Regions from separate parts of the Mus musculus genome. Here region 1 is reported to be linked to region 2. Evidence: microRNA targets listed by miRTarBase, many of them from high-throughput screens and not tested one by one. Region 2 holds a microRNA gene; the other region holds the end of a gene's coding sequence.

Region 1 (8,018 bases), not on the chromosome of region 2:
GGCTCAGCAACGGAAGCACTCACTGCCAAGCCTGACAGCCCGAGTTAGATCATGGCAGAGGAGAGACCTGAGTTCCCTAAGTTGTCCTCTCACCTCCACACATGTGCCATGCTGTCCGTGCTCCACCCCTCTCAGTAAATAAACACTGTAATAATGAAAAGGTTTTAATTTTTTTAAAATGGTGGAAAGTAAACAAAAACAACCATAAACCAGCATCCCCAATTAATTATTGCCCCTGAATATTTCCTTGTGAATGTGATTGGAGTGCAGCTGGCGCATCCCCGGGCCACAGGGCTCAAAGCTGAGCTGGGCATCATCACTGAGCCGGAGGGTTACTGCTACATGAAGTGCTGAAGCAGGTCTGAACCAGACAGCGCTCCTCTGGACCAGCATGCACGAATCTAGAGTTAGCCAACCTCATCACTGTTAGAAACTTTGGGGAGATGAAGTTGGAAAGGGTCATCTGTGGTATTGAACAGGCAAGGCAGTGCATGTTTGTAATCCCAGCACTGGAAAGGCAGGGTCAGGGTGACACCATATGATATGCATAGTGTACATCATGTATGATGAAGCCAGATGGAGGTGTCCTGCAGTAAACCAAAGCTCTTGCTGCACTGTCGGGAAGATCTCACGTTACTTTCTTTTAGAGAATTGGTTTCTCTGTACTAACAGGAAGTCTGCATAGTCCAATGCTAGCCTAGCTATAAGGTGAGACCATTTCAAACACAAAACACACACACACACACAAAACAATCTCTCCAAGGCCATGGAGACCAGAAAGTGTCTTTGTTGGGTTTTTGTTTTCTGCAGTGCCAGGAATGGAACCTGGACTTTATGTGTGCTGGACAAGTGCTGTCTATACCACTGAGCTATAATTGCCAGCCCCCAGACTGTACCTCCCATGGTTTTGTACTTGATCCAGTTCCCTGCACCCTTCACCCCTTAGATGCTGCGTTCCTGGCCCGGGAGAAGGCGAAGGCCGACGCTGAGTGCTACACAGCGCTGAAGATCGCAGAAGCAAATAAGGTAAAGGGCGCCTGACCCACCGTCCTGAGGAGGTGTTGCCTCTGCCGCTCGCTACCCAGAGCCCTCACAACAGAACTGAGGACCCTCTGCTGGGTTAGACAGCGCTTCTCTTGTGTGGGAAGCCTTAATAGAAGCTTCATTTTGTATTGAACAGGAAAACTCTGGAAACTGTTGCTACTCTGTCATAGACCTTAGATTATTTTCTCTCAGAAAAAAATGGTTTCTGGGTAACAGGGAGGCCATGAGACATGCAAACACATGTCTGCTTGACAGATGCCCTCCCCAGATGAAGTTCCTCTCTGGTGTCCCCTCCCTAAGCTCTCTTCACTTCCATCACAGCTCAAGCTGACTCCAGAATACCTGCAGCTGATGAAGTACAAGGCCATTGCTTCCAACAGCAAGATTTACTTCGGCAAAGACATCCCCAACATGTTTATGGATTCCGCAGGGGGGCTGGGCAAGCAGTTTGAGGGGCTGAGCGACGACAAGCTGGGCTTTGGCCTAGAAGATGAGCCCCTCGAGGCACCCACAAAGGAGAACTGAGGAAACACTGTCTGCAAGCTCTGCTCGGGCAGCTTAGAGAGAGCTGTATTCTTTAAGATGAGACAGAGCAAAGCGCTCCTCCTTTCCACACTACCTTCCTTGACTCTTCTTACTGTGGTTAAAAAGGAAGAAATGGACACAAACTTACCCCCTTCTGGGAAGGGAGAGCAGATGGAGAGTTGTTTTTTGGGTTTATTTTTAATTCAGGTAAGTAAGTTGTATGACTTCTGAGAAGGTGTATGCACCGTAGATTTGACCTCTGACCTGCAGACACCAACATTGTCACTTTGAAGCTGGTTTAAGTGGAGCTACTGTCAGTATGAAGAGGGAGAGTGTGTGCTGCCTCCTCGTGCTTGAATTCCTTCAGGGAAAAGTGTACTCCACAGTTCTCTCCCTTGCCTCTAGTGTAGGCAGTGTCTGCGTGTGGGGCTCGTGACAGAAGGCCGTCTGCTGCGGAACATGAGCTGCAGAGAGCGTTGGCCGGCTGGGCTTTTTGACTGAGTGGATTACTTGAGAGTTAAGCTGTCTTGAGCCCTTTTTAGGAAGAACTTGGTGCTAGGTTTTGCAAGGTTTTCTACACACTGTACTCTGCTCTAGTGTTTGTTGGCTACATCTCACCGCAGCAGGGCTTGGTCACACCACACACTCCTTTTCCGTACTTTGACCTGATCTGTGATTTCATTTCTTCTTGAATAATCTATTCATGAGTTGCACTCAGCGTTAAGATGGGAACAAACAAGTGCTGTTAGCTGATGACGTAGCTCCTTATACCCCTTAGCACTGTGGTGCTGTGTGGCTAATTATGCGTATGCTTTTGAGACCAAACATCTTTATCATTATGGAGATTCTTCATTGAAGAGCCCTTAACACTGTGGAGAAGGGCCCAGCCAGATGACACCCAAGTAGTAGTGCCTGTGGCCTGTGCTGGGGCTTTGTCTGACACTGATGAAGAGAGCAGGCAGCCACTTGAGAGTCGGCTCCAGTGAGTCACCCTAGGAAACTGAGAATGCGAAGAATAGATATGAGAGAAAGGGATTTCTTATCCTGAAATTGCACTGGGGGTGGGGCTCTACCATGGCCTGTGAGTGCACACAGAATGCCTCTGTGGAGGGCAGCTCTGCAGGTAATCTGCAGACATGGCAGTACCCTGTGCAACCATGACTGGCTCTAGCTTAGGACTTGGCCTTGTTAGCTGGTCCCCTACCTCATCCTCCCCCCACACAAAGCACCTACTGTTCTCTCTTAGGTGACTACTATAAATGGTATTTTCTGGCATCAATTCCCACCTCAGTTTTGGTTTTGTAAGTCGGGCCAGTTTGCTCCTAAGTGGCACCAGACTTGTCAGGTATTTGGGAAGCATTCAGCCGACCCAAAAAGAGGCAGGGTTCACTGTGCTTACTTCAGATGTTCCCTTCTCTGTCCTGACTCCTCAGGCCACTGACCCTGGCCACACTGTACAAACTACAAAATGTTCCTGAAAAGGACATTTTAATGTGCTCAAAAGCTCTTGCAAAAGTGGGTTTTTTTCCCCAAGACCAACTCATCTTCTTCTCATTTGTTGCTGCTAACCACTTGTTGAGAGCAACGTGCTATACCCAGCATCCTCTCTTGTACGTGCACCTGAGAAAACACTACTTCAGTGGAGTCGGTGCAGGAGGGAGGGTACCCCGCCATCCAGCGCCCTCCTAGCCCGAGAGGCTCTGTAACTAGCATTCTGAGAGCTCATCCCTCCATTACAAAGAGCCACAGTAAAGTCCTGCTGCAGCTGCTCCTTCCCTGCCCCTTTAATGTCACTTCTTTAACAGAACAGAAATGTCCCCATGTCATAGCATAAATTCAGTAGCTATTGGTATCTGTCCCAGCAGTAAAATCATGGAACTCAGATGTCTTTTTAGCATGGGATGCCTAGCCCATCTGTCTTTATGACCTTGTTTTTTGTAATACTATAAAATCTGACTTAGGCATTTGAATTCTAAACATGTAAAATGTGATAAGCCTGCAGTTTTGTAGGCAGTGAATTCATAGCTGCTATTTTTAAGTAGAACTTCTATCAAAATACGTTAACCGTTTGTAAAATTCAGTTTTTGTAGGACTTTCCCAAGGCCCAGCCACCTTGGTAGAATGCTTCTCACTCACTAAATGTTGCAGAAGCAATTTATATTCCATATAGGTTTTTAATCACTTTTCAATATATGGTTAGAATGTTTGTAAGGAAGCCTAAGTTTAATAATTTTTATATAACTAAAAATAGGTGTGGAGGACTCAGTGTGGGTACTGAGGAGGAATGAAGTGCTCTGAAAAGGGAGGTGTATAAACGGCCTGTGGGGCCGTGTGTCTTGTGAAAGTGAGATAGCCGTGCTTACTGACCTGGGCTGTCGTCAGCTGGCCGTCGGTAAACTACCTGGACAATAGCCCCTCTGTCTGGGAACTTTACCTACTTCCTTGTCCTCAGTGGGCTTCTAGCCACTGTTTGTTTCCTTATAAAAGCTGTAATGGGCAATCATGTGTTTGTACTTCCATTCCTTTTTATCTCTACTTCTGTGTAAACTGGTGATTGAATAGTTAAAGCAATTTTTTCAGTGTGCCCCAAGGGCATTAATGAGCCTTTATAACTGAGAAATGATTCTTGTTATAGTAATTATTCCATAAATGATACCACTAGATAAATTACCTTGGGTTAATAGCTCCAGGATTTGTTTCAGACAACAAAAAAAGGTCTCAATGTGAATATACTTACATTTTGGATTTAATTTCAGTCTTGCTAAATAAAATGTTTTTGTCTTTTTTTGATTAAGGTAAAATTTACCAGTAGATTGGAGGACAGGTGATAGAAATCAAACTTCCTTCTTAGGCTTTCCCTAAAAATATATCCAGGTAATATAGATTCTTACCAGCATGCTGGTACATGCCTTTAGCTCCAGCACCCGAGGAGAAGGATCTGTTTGAGCCCAGCCTGGTCTGCATAGTGAGACTATGGCAAAAACAAACAGAATTAACACATTGCTGCATTTCTCCAGAAGATAAAGGCATTCCCAGTTGACCCTAACCTCATGTAATATCAGTTTAAGTAGGTAACTCCCAGACTGGCTGTGGCAAGCTGCCTCGCCTAGTGTCACTAGATAAATGTTAATGTCAGTGAACTTTACAAAAACTATATACCATCCAAATGTTTTACAACACCTACTTTTATAGAAGAATTTGCACTTGATCTGAAATTTGCATTTAACTGGATATTTTCTTTTAAATAACAAGTTTGGGATATCTTGGTTTGGGTTTTGGTTTAGTGTATGTAGTATAGGGTATTTTGCTGATGTATGTCTGTATTCCACATGCATACCTGGTGCCTATGGAGGCCAGCTGAGGGCATTGGATTTCCCGGACGGGGCAGTTTTGAGTTGTTCCTTGTTTGCTGGAATCAAGCAGGGTCCTCCTCAAGAGCAGCCAGTGCTCTTAACCTCTGAGCCATCTCCCTCTCCCCCACCCTGCCACAACATAGTTTTCTTGGTTTTTTTTTGGGGGGGGGTTGGTTGGTTGGTTTTGGGGGTTTTTTTGGGGGGGGGGGTGTCGAGACAGGGTTTCTGTGTATAGCCCTGGCTGTCCTGGAACTCACTCTGTAGACCAGGCTGGTTTTGAACTCAGAAATCCTCCTGCCTCTGCCTCCCGAGTGCTGGGATTAAAGGCGTGCGCTTCCCACCATGTTTTTCATTGTTGTTTTCTTATGTTTTTCTTACACTGTGCTTCCTTTCTTTTTGAAAATGGTTCTTTCACAATTTGCACTTTGACCATAACCCCCACACACACATTAGCATCTTAATCCCTTACCCTCCCATCAAACTTTTCTTCCCATCAAGCCCCCTTCTTACTTAAAAAAAAAAATTCACTAAAACTGAGTTTACTTAATGAATTATGTTATTTTTCTTTACTATTTATCTATTCACTTTATATTCCAATATCAGCCCCTTCTCTCTTCCCAGGCCCCCCACACACACACACACACAGCTCCTCCCTCCATTCTTCCTTCCCCCTTCCTATGAAAAGGGGGCAGCCTTCCCTAGATATCACCCCTCTGGCACATCATCCTGTTCCCCTACGTTTTATTTTTCTTTTAAGTAGGGTTGCTTGCATAAGCCTGAGCTGTGAGTTATTTAGGCAAGGGCAACTTTCTAGTAGCAACACCACTGAGAAATATGGCTCCCCTTCCTCAGTAAGCACAGCTGTCCCACGATCCTCAGGAGCTCCCGCCTCATTCACAGCCCCAGTCCTGCACAGGTGACCACAGCTGTCGCCGTTGGTAATGGGCACAGGAGATATAGCAGTTCACACTACACCTCCCTACTACCCTCTGGCTCTTAGTTTTGTTTTGTTTTTTTCCATATCCCCCCCCTCTTCCAAGAGGTTCTTTGAACCTTGAAGGAGGTAGCACAGATGCTCTGATAGGGTTCAATAGTCATTTATTTTGAGCACTTTGACCAGTTGTGACTCTGTTAATCATTATCCATTGTAACACAAACAGCTTCTTTATCCAAGGCTGAGGTCAGCACTAACCTGTGGATATAAATATTCTGAAGACAGTTTGCTGCCATGTCCATTTAGCAAAACAGTAGTAGTAGGTTCTGTGTGTGTTTATGTATATGTGCAGATAGGTAGGTAGGTAGGTAGGTAGGTAGGTAGGTAGATAGATAGATAGATAGATAGATAGATAGATAGATAGATAGATAGAGGCCCCACCCTAAATCTGTAGTATTTATAGGTCTCATTTTTACATCTGTGTACATATGTATGTATACATCCTTGTGCATGCGCACATGCTCAGACACCCTGGCATTCATGTGGAGATCTGCAGGAGTCTGCTTTCTCCTTCCACCATATGACTTTGGACAGCAAGCGCCTCTGACCCCTGACCTGTCTTATCACCTTCAATTTTTTGAAGCAGAGCATCTCTTTGACTTCACGTCCATCCCAGCCTTCACGAACCCTTTAAACTTGACCCACTTATTCCTGACTAGTACTTCCCAACTGCAGCTCCACAGCCAGCTTCTCATTAGGCTCACTCTGTAACAGCCTTCTGGGCCCTTTCAGGTTTTGGGGTTTTTTTCACTGTGGTGACAGCAGTATATGAAGAGGCATTTACCTTCAATATCATTACTCCTAAAGTCTGGGAATGGAGAGAGAGCACTTACTGCTCTTATAGAGGTTCAGAACCCAGCACCCATCTATCCACTCATCAGTTCCAGAGAGTTCTATGCCCTCCTCTGACCTCTGTGGCAGTTCACAGACTTAACGTTCAGGGGAAACACCCACACAACAAAAATATAAATAAAAATATTTAAATTAAAAGGGGGCTGGAGAGATGGATCAGTAGTCAAGTGCACCTGTTGCTCTTGCAAAGGACCAGAATTCTGTCCCCAGCACACATGATGGCTCACAACCATCAGGTCGAGATCCAAAACTCTCCTGGCCATGGCACCACAGATACGACGGTGCATGCACATACATACATGAGGACAAAACAAATCAACGCACATAAAATAAATATTTTAAAAAAGAAATAATAGCTGGGCAGTGGTGGCACACGCCTTTAGACCCAGCACTTGGGATTTCAAGGCCACCCTGATCTAGAGAATGAGTTCCAGGACAGCCAGGACACAGAGAAGCCCTGTCTCGAAAGAAATTTAAAAATGGGAAGGAGAGGGGAGGGAAGGGAAAGGAAAAGAAGAAAGGAAAAAGGAAAGGAACGGAACGGATGAATGAAAGTTACTTTAATGTCTTGGTTTATACCGGCCCGCCCAGCCCTTGAACTCCCTAGGAGGCTTTCAGTCCGGGTAACCTCCGCCTTCCCCAAGATGGCGCCCGCCTGGGTGGCCAACCTCCGCTGGGGAAGTGGCTGGATGGTGAGCGGCGATTGGACCTCTCAGGAAGGGGGCGGGACCGGAAGGTGGGCTCGGTGAGTCGCGGGTCCTCCGGGCATCCTCTTGGGAATGTTGAGAGGTGGCAGCATGACGGCGGAGCTGGGAGTCGGGTTCGCGCTGCGGGCCGTGAACGAGCGAGTCCAGCAGAGTGTGGCGCGGCGGCCGCGGGTGAGGACCGGCGGAAGGGCACTGGGGAGGGCTGGAAGGGGGACACCTACGTGGGACGAGGTGTCACGGTGACGCAGAAGGGGCTCCCGGAGGGGCGGGGGCTGCAGAGGGGATCGCTGGGTTTCCATGGCGGTCGGTCTGGCCTTGAGGATCGGGACTTGCCGGGAGGTTGGCTTGGTTGGAGAAAGGTGTTCATTTAGGGCAAGTGACTCGTATCCAGGCGTCTCGCCATTCGTCATTGCCCTCGGTACCACCACGCCATTCGTCACCACGGTACTAGAGCCCTGGGAGGGCCGTGTCCACCCGCGATCACGTGCGTTGCGGCGGCCGCGAGCCGTGGTCTAGCTGCGCGTGAACTTGACACACACAGAG
Region 2 (8,018 bases):
AGCTCTTTGAGTTTGGGGTTTGGAGCATAGCAGTTGTGCAAGAATGGACCAGCATATCTAGGCCTGAGGCCTCTCCCTTCTGTTCTTGGGGGTGGAGTACATTTTGTTTGTTTTATTGGTTTTGATTTTTTTTTTTTTTAAGCAAACGTAGCAAACAAAACTGCAAACCAACTGGGGGTTGGGGATAGCTAGGGACCCTGGATGACGATGTGGCTTTACTTTGTGAAGATTATTTGGTCTCTATCCAATTTTCATCTCCAAATTTGAGGTGAAAACATTAAGGGCTTTGATGTCAGGACAGAGTTAGCTATTCTGAGTTTTGGGGTGTCACTTGCCATAGAAGTTATTGTAGTCAATAAGGCCTGTTTTTAGTCTCGACAGCTGATAGCAAATTGGAGGTGCGGGGCTGGTTTTAAAGATGTCTTAGTTCGGGGGTTTGGAGGGATTTGATGCTCCCATGTGAGACTGTCCATCTCTAATTTCTGGTCTACTGGGGGAGCATGAGTACGCAACTAATTTGGGGGACATAGTCTCTTTCCAAGTGCTGTTTCAAGGTTTGGATGAGATTGTTTGGGGACATAAAGGTCAACTTGGGGCTTTTTAGAGAGCCCAGTTACATTGAGTTGGTGGCAGAGCCAGAAGCTAGGAGAGGATCTGAAGGCTTTCTGTAGCTGAGAGCTTGATTGATGGGGGGGCAAAGTTTTGTATTTGAATCTTGTGGAAACTCATTTTGAGGGTTGGATATTCCTGTGAACATGTTTATGTGTGAAACTCCTCCACAGGAGAGAATTGAGAAGCCCCCCCAGGGTAGAAGGATAGTTTGGGGGGTATCCAGTTTCTGGGTGTTTTGCCACTGGCCACATTTGGTGAAGCTGAGAGGTGGGTCATAAATTGAAATTGATTTGGAGGTTCACCTATTCTAAAGCACACTTCTGACTTAGGTTATCTTTTGCTGATAGTCCCCTGGCACCCCAGATTGTAAAAAAAATTAGTGAACCCCCAAATAAGGCCAGAATTTGAAGGGTGAAGCCTGGAAAAAGCAGTGTGGTCCATCATAGACTCACTGGAATATGACCTGTTGTGCTAAGGGGGGAAAGGTGGCTTCATACTCTGAACCCCGATTTCTTATGGAAGAAAAAATCCGTTTGGAGGAGATGGGGTGTCTCTTGTTAAAGTGGGTACTTTCTGACTAACAGTGCTGCTGAAACTGGCAAGGAAAGGCTGTGATGGTCTACAAGGGGGGGGTGAATCTTGCACCCTGATATTTTAAGATAAGAGCCCCAAAGAGAAAGCAGACAGAGGATTGGGAATGAGGGTGAACTGAGAGGCGGGGGAGGGGTTTCCAACGGCAGCAGGGGCTAGAGGGTAAGCCAGGCCAGATATTCCCGCCTAGGTCCCTGCTCTCTTCGGCTCTCCTCCCCTCTCTCCCTCCCACCGCCCACCCCCCCAACTCAAGGAAAAAAAAACTGCCTGTGCAATAGCAATGGCAGATTCCAGTCCTCCAGGCTTTCCTAAACCACCACCGAGACCAGCCAGGGGGGAGGGGAGGGGAGGGGAGGATCGGGCTTTCCTGCTTCCTTGAGACAGGGGCAATGAGCTTGACCTCTTGGCCCCTAGCCTTCTAAAGAGTGTCCCCCGGTCTGGAAACCAGGTGTCCTGGACCCTAGCCCCCAAGCGGGGGGGCCTGGAGAAACGGGGAGGAGGAAGGAGGGAGTGACTTCCAAAATTGGCATCGGGACAGAGCAGGGCTGGCGGGAGGCAGGAGAAAGACAGAATTTTCCTGAAAAAACGGGGGTATCTAAGGACCCCAAATTTGGGTAGCTAGTTCAGGACCATCTTCCCAACATCCTAGATTTTTTTGGGATTTTTTGGGGGCCCCGGGATCCCTCTAGATGGGGTGAGGAATGTAGTGTTGGGGGAATCTGACTGGGGCAATGCAGCTGCCTCTCCCGCCGAGTTGGAGACGGATGGGCTGGGACGGGTTTTGGGGGGGTGTCCCCAGTTCTGACTGGGAGTGGAGGAACCCCTCCAGAGCTCTCTTGTGGGGGTCCCCCACCCCAGGGCACTCCCCAGTCCTTGAGCCAGCTGAGAGGAAGGAGGCCAGCGATGCGACTGGGGCGTCTCTTTTCTCCTGCACCCCAAATGTGAGGGATGCACCCCAAAATTTGCTCCTTTCAAAATAGGGGACCAGGATCTCAGGGGAGAGTAGCTGAGGTAAGTGGGGAGGAAAGTGTCCCCTGTTTTCAGGAGAGACGTGGCGGTTGGGGGGGAGGTTTGGAGGTGCGTGCTGGGGTGGGGTTGCGCCTTGTAACTCTTGAAATTGGGGGGATGACCAGAGAAGCTTTCTCTTGTACCCCTAAGACGTAGCACCTCATACTGAAACCAAAGCTTGAGACTTGAGAGCCCCCAATATTCCTACAGACATTAGGACAGTGTTTGCTTTTTTTTTTTTTTAGCCCCACAAAAGCTTTGCTGGGATGGGAGCTGGGGGACAGCAGTTGTTTCTGGGGGTCCAGGAGGGTGCAAGGAGCAGGAGGCGTTGGCAGGGCTTGATATAGGTGATCTGGTAGTCTTGGAGAGGGTCTGGCATACTAGGGGGGCCTAAAAAGATTGCTTCACACACCATCTTAAATCTTTTGATTGCTAAGAGTTTTGGGGGGGTGTGTCGGAAGCCTGGTGGTGCTAAAAGGTGGGATGAGATATGGGAGGTTAATATCTAGGGTTTACAGAGTTTTGTTTTGTTTTGAAATTTCCAGAAGAAACTTTTGCCTTCTGGGAGGTTCTTTTTAAAATCAAGTCTTGGACAGGAGGAAAGGGCTATGGGAAGGCCTAGGGTTGGGGGTGGGGAAAAGGCATGTTTGTCTTTGCTTAAACGTGGCTCTCAGGGGTGGGCCTGCTTGCCTGGGCCTGGTGAATGGGCTAATGAGTGTTGCTGTGTGGGTGGGGCGTGGGTCTTGGGGGACCATGGGGAATGGAAGCAGCACTTGGGGTTGAATACTTTGCCCTCTGGTCCAGATGAGCCTCTTCCTGGGCTCTGCTGCATCCCTTTCTCCCTGGCCTCCATTTCCTGCCTTTGGCCTCCATCTTGTGGCAGGCCCAGGGCCCAGGGCGACTTCCGGCCCCCCTCTCTCAACCGTGTTCCAGCCCCACCACCTCTGGACTGCCAACTCCCAACCCTGCTGTCCTTGGCCCTGTGTCTTCCAGCATTTCTCTTGGGTTCTGACCTAGGGAGGGAGGAATGGACACAGGAAACCTTAGGTCCCTGCCTTTGTGGGAGGCAGTTTGTTGGTCTTCCCCAGTCATCCCGTTTCCTAAGGATCCCCAGAGCTGAATTCCTACAGAGGTGAAGAATGCTCCAAGCTTATCACATTGGACTCATCTGCCAGGGCCCTATCCTTTGCCTGCTAAACTACTTTTGCTGGTTCCTGATTGTTCCCCCCCCCCAGCTTTTTTGGGGGGCCATGTTTGCCATTCACACCTCTGTCTCACTCTAGGTGGGGGTCTTCACGGCACTGCCTGTGCTGTCTTCCTCTCGACCCACCCCAGTCCTGCCCCCGCCCCAGCAGCACACTGTGGTTTGTACGGCACTGTGGCCACGTCCAAACCACACTGTGGTGTTAGAGCGAGGGTATGGGAGGCACCGATGAGCCTGGCCCTGGGAGGCCACCCTGGAGAAGCAACACACACACACACACACACACACACACACACACACACACACCGTCTAGGGTATTGTGATGAAGTTCTTGCAAGGTGGGACAGGAGACACTGGAAAGAGCCCCTCTGCAACCCCCAGGTTGTCTGATACCAGTTATCAGGAACCCTGGTAATGAGTTCTGGCCCCACAGAGCAAAGTAGAGTCTTTGTTGCCCACACCCAACTCTCCTGGCTCTAGCAGCACAGAAATATTGGCATGGGGAAGTGAGTCTGCCAATATTGGCTGTGCTGCTCCAGGCAGGGTGGTGAGAGCTACTGAGAAGGGGCCAAGCCCCGAGGGCGAAGCAGAGGAGAGGGAACGGCAGCTGGCAGCACCATGTTGAGAGAATCTTTTTTAATTATAATTTTCTGTATAAAAATGTCCATCACACAGAAGTCAAAGGGCGAGGGCACATGGTTATCAGGAACGAGGTGGATGGCTCCAGCAGCCCTCTGACCCTCTCTCAGGCAGTCCTTGCTTAGAGTCCCAGGTGATCCACAGGTCCAGGGTGAACAATGAGGGTCAGAGGTGGAAGGCTCAGCAGGAGAGGAGAGGAGCATCAGCGGAGGTGGTGAGGAGGCCAGAGTCCAGGGTCAGGCTGTCTGGAACAGGAAGGAAAACGGACAGAGATGGAGCAAGCGTGGAGGATTTTTCCAAGAAAACCCTCACCTCCTCAAACGCCGTATTACTAACTGACCCATTCCCCTGCACTGAATCTTCCTTCTGAGGCCCCTGCACCAGAAAGGGGTTTTCTGTGGGGACCCTCCCCTACCATCCAGGTGAGTATGTTCCCCACCCCCAGCCAGCGTGGGAGGAGGAGGACTCCTACCCTGGTCAAAGTTGAGTTTCTTGGCTGGAGGAGTTTCTCCTAGCCCTTCGACATCCACCAGGTCACTGTTGGCGTCGGAGTCGTTCAGAGCACTGAGTGTCACATCTGGGAGGGGGCATAGGCTAAGTTCTAGGTTTCCCTGACTGCTGTCTTTCCCTCCTCCCAGTCTGCCAAAGCTTCATGCTCTACACATCCCTCTACCCACTCTGGAATCACCAGCGTACAGAAGAGAAGCGTCTCTCCTTCTTTGACCCAGGCCCAATTCTCTTATTGAATCTCAGATAGGACCTTTAACCCCTACCCTAGGCAGCAACTCCACAGCCCTCACCAGCCTTCTGTTTCTTTATGGGAGGAACCCCAGCTTCAGGGACACTGGAGCTGCTGGGTGGAGGGGCGTTTGGAGGTGAGAGGACACCGGACGTCATCTTCTTGGGTCCTTTCTTGGGTGACTCAGCTGGAAGGGGGATGCCGGAGTCTTCATACACTTTTCGCTTCACAGTGGTCTTTATCTGAGCCCTGAAGATGAGAGAGAGCAGATTAGGGTGTCATCAGAGAAGCCGAGGGAAGAGGGGAGGGGAGGGAATAATGGGCCACTCTGAAGGAATTCTAGGAGTTCCTTTGTAGATATCCAGGTCAAGGCCCCAGTTCATGTGTAATAAGGGTCCTCCCCCCCCCCCCCACGTTCAGAACTTTTGCATCCACTTAGGGCTAATAGATTAAGATGAATGGAGTCCCTGAACTGAGTGGCCAGAAAGGCCCTTTTCATGATCCTCTGGGAGAGATGCATGGTTTTGTAGGACCACCAGGTATGTTGTGGTGACATAAAGGTAGACTGAGACTGTCATAGAACCTGACCAACTAATTAGTTCAGAATGCATCCCCTGGACATGCCAGTTTCAAAGGATTTACATAAATAGCTAGGGAACTCTTATCATCAAACACAACCACTGAGTATCTGGGCACCATGAAAATAAAGTTCTCTGCAGGCCCTAGTGACCACTGCATTTCCTGATCTTCCGACCAACTGCCACAGTGACAGTCTCTCAGTCTTCAAGGAAATGCTAACAAAACTAGGAACAAAGTAGGAAAGATGCTGAGCTGGGAGTTCTGAGAGAGAACAATGGGTCAGGAGGAAGAAAGTTGCCCACCCTCCCCTTTCTCTGCCAGCCACCCTCCCTCACACTGTCCGTTCCTTGATGACACAGCTGATGTGATTAAGATCGTCCCCAAAGCGCTTCACAGCAGCCCTCAGCATCTCTATCTCCGTCTCCGTCCACTTGGCACTGTCGGAAGGGGAGAAGGGTGATAACAAAAGTGGAAGAGGGATGTGTGGAACCAGCCCACAGGCTATTCCGTCCACAGCCAGCAGCCTCTTCCCCCTAGTCTCTAGGGGCACCTTTCAAAGATTCATAAAAAGGACCTCCTTTTAAAAAAAAAAAAGCCCTGGGGACAAATCGCTGGCCACATGAAATTACATCCAGGGCCACTTGAAAACATCACTTCATCATGTAACAGCTTCCATAAACAACCCAACGGAAACCAATGAAACAAGTAGGGGCCTTACAAACACAACCCTTGAAAGATGTGTGGCAGCAGTTTGAGGGAGTCCACAGGGCTTGGGGTAGGTGGCAGACATTCTGTCGGTTTGCAGTGGAGGGCTGTGGCCTCGGTAGTCTCTTTACCTGTCATCCACTAATTCAACAATTACCACCTACACTGAGCTGGGCCAGGCACAGGGGAATTACTCTATCTCCCTGCTCTAGAGAGGGTCGTGTCTGTGACTTGAGTCCAAGCGTCTGATCTCGGAGTCCAGGTCCTAGGCTGGTCTCACGTACCCGGCAGGGGAAGAGTCCGAGACTGGATGCAGCTGCATCGTCAACTCCCCGAGCTTCGTGAAGGCGGCGCCGGCCGCGGAGAAGATCTCTCCAACCTGGGGGCGGAGCAGCATTACGGGGGGCCGGCAGCGCGCCGTCCCACCCCAGCCTCGGATCCGCCCGCCCCCCGCCCAGCGCGCACCAGCCGGGAGCCAGGCAGGGGGCCCACCCTCCCGTGGCCGCCAGGGAGCGCAGTCCGCGAGGGAGGTCGAACCTTGGTGGACGCTGACGTCATGGCCCCGCGCACCTCCTCACGGAGACGCTCCGCCGCCACCACCACCACGCGAGCTGGAAACCACGGAGAGCCCGGCAGCCGGCCGCTCGGGCTCCCGCGCAGGAAGTCCCGCCCTCCCTGCAGCTGATTGGCCGAGACCCGACCTCTCCCCAGTCACTCAAGGGGCCTCGCCGCGCGGAGGAAGACGAGGTGGAAGACGTTGCTTCACTTCCGGCTAGCTTCATTCCACTTCCGTCGGAGGGTCCGGACTCCTCGATGAGGCCGGTCTCAGCCCCTTCCAGCCCGGGCCCGCCCCTCCCTGAAAGCACAGACAGCAAGCTTAGGGGGAACCGCTTCTTTTTATTGTAGTTCAGAACGGGGCGCGGTCACCCTCGGTCTCCTCCAGAGGCTGGGCGCAGTTTTGCAGGGCCAGGGATGACGTCTCGCTAGGGTCACAAGTCCCAAAGGACGCCAGATGAGTGGGACGGAGTCTGCGGAGTCTTTAAATAGAGAAGGGGGCTGGGGAGGGAGAGGCGGACCGCGCTCTAGCGCACCATGTATTCCTTGCGCTTGTTGAGACGAACTTGGCAGAAGGAGAAGCCTCCGAGGAGGAGGTAGAGGCCCGCGGCGATGAAACAGTTGTAGCTGACTTGCTCGTACAGGTTGTATATGTTCTGAGGACCGTTCCTGAAGGTGGCGAGCGAGCAGGGAAATGTCAGCCATTCAGAGCATCCAATATGCAAGTTCTATGCATCAGACACCATGCTAAAGCACTTTAACTCCTATTAGTCTTCCCAAGAAGCATACCAAATGAATTCTATCATGGTAACCATTTTACAGAGGTAGACCAAGGAGCAGGAAGGCAAAATATTGGAAGAGGCCACATCTAAGCTGGTGGGCTTGGGTAGCCATGGAAACGTGGCTTGCAAGACTGCTCCTAAGTACATGCCTTTCTGTGTCTCTGTCTCTCGCGCTGGGGATTGAAACTAGGACCCTGCGTGCTGCCACCCAACTACTTTGTAGAGAGCAGCCCTCTTCTTGAAGTCCCCAACCTAGGGCCACAAATGTCCAGTCTTCAGAAGTGTCCTCCCCATAAACCCAAACCATGCTACTCCTCATCCACGCCCAACTCGCCCAAGTACCCGACCACTTACTCAAAATCTTTCTCTGTGAAGGGAACGTCCTCAATTAACACAGCAGAATGGACATTGAAAAATATCCCGAGCATTATCTGGAAGAGTAAGGAATAGATAGGTTGTCAAATTCTTACCTTACTTCTTTGGTCGCTCCCTAGGCTCCTCCCCTGTCTAATGTTGGCCCAACACTTGCGCCAGAGATGAACTAGAAAGGGCTAGTTGTATCTGGTGGTTGTATCTGGATTCGGACTCAGCCATGTGGAACAGG

The links. Region 2 holds the annotated microRNA mmu-miR-497a-5p (CAGCAGCACACUGUGGUUUGUA, at 3,561-3,582, shown strand). A microRNA usually pairs through its seed, bases 2 to 8, with sites in the 3' UTR of a target mRNA and lowers its output. Matches are read on the target gene's strand: a 7mer-m8 pairs with bases 2 to 8, a 7mer-A1 pairs with bases 2 to 7 and ends in A, and an 8mer does both.
Region 1: miRTarBase lists Erlin2 as a target of mmu-miR-497a-5p. Seed matches in the 3' UTR shown: 8mer at 3,129-3,136 and 7mer-A1 at 3,594-3,600.

Annotation. Positions count from the first base shown.
Region 1 is chr8:27,035,068-27,043,085 of GRCm38, forward strand. It overlaps Erlin2 (ER lipid raft associated 2), which reads left to right. Exons shown (of 12, transcript NM_153592.3): 11 at 947-1,026; 12 at 1,366-4,370. The coding sequence ends at 1,569. Plpbp (pyridoxal phosphate binding protein) reads left to right here and starts at 7,488. Exons shown (of 8, transcript NM_054057.4): 1 at 7,488-7,646. The coding sequence starts at 7,548.
Region 2 is chr11:70,231,170-70,239,187 of GRCm38, forward strand. Mir497 (microRNA 497) reads left to right here and starts at 3,548; the gene lies at 3,548-3,631. 0610010K14Rik (RIKEN cDNA 0610010K14 gene) reads right to left here and starts at 6,745. Exons shown (of 6, transcript NM_145758.1): 1 at 6,615-6,745; 2 at 6,362-6,456; 3 at 5,708-5,809; 4 at 4,855-5,042; 5 at 4,527-4,631; 6 at 4,035-4,295. The coding sequence starts at 6,635. The coding sequence ends at 4,291. Rnasek (ribonuclease, RNase K) reads right to left here. Exons shown (of 3, transcript NM_173742.3): 2 at 7,769-7,845; 3 at 6,954-7,301. The coding sequence ends at 7,160. Mir497b (microRNA 497b) reads right to left here and starts at 3,647; the gene lies at 3,523-3,647. It also overlaps Mir195a and Gm40191.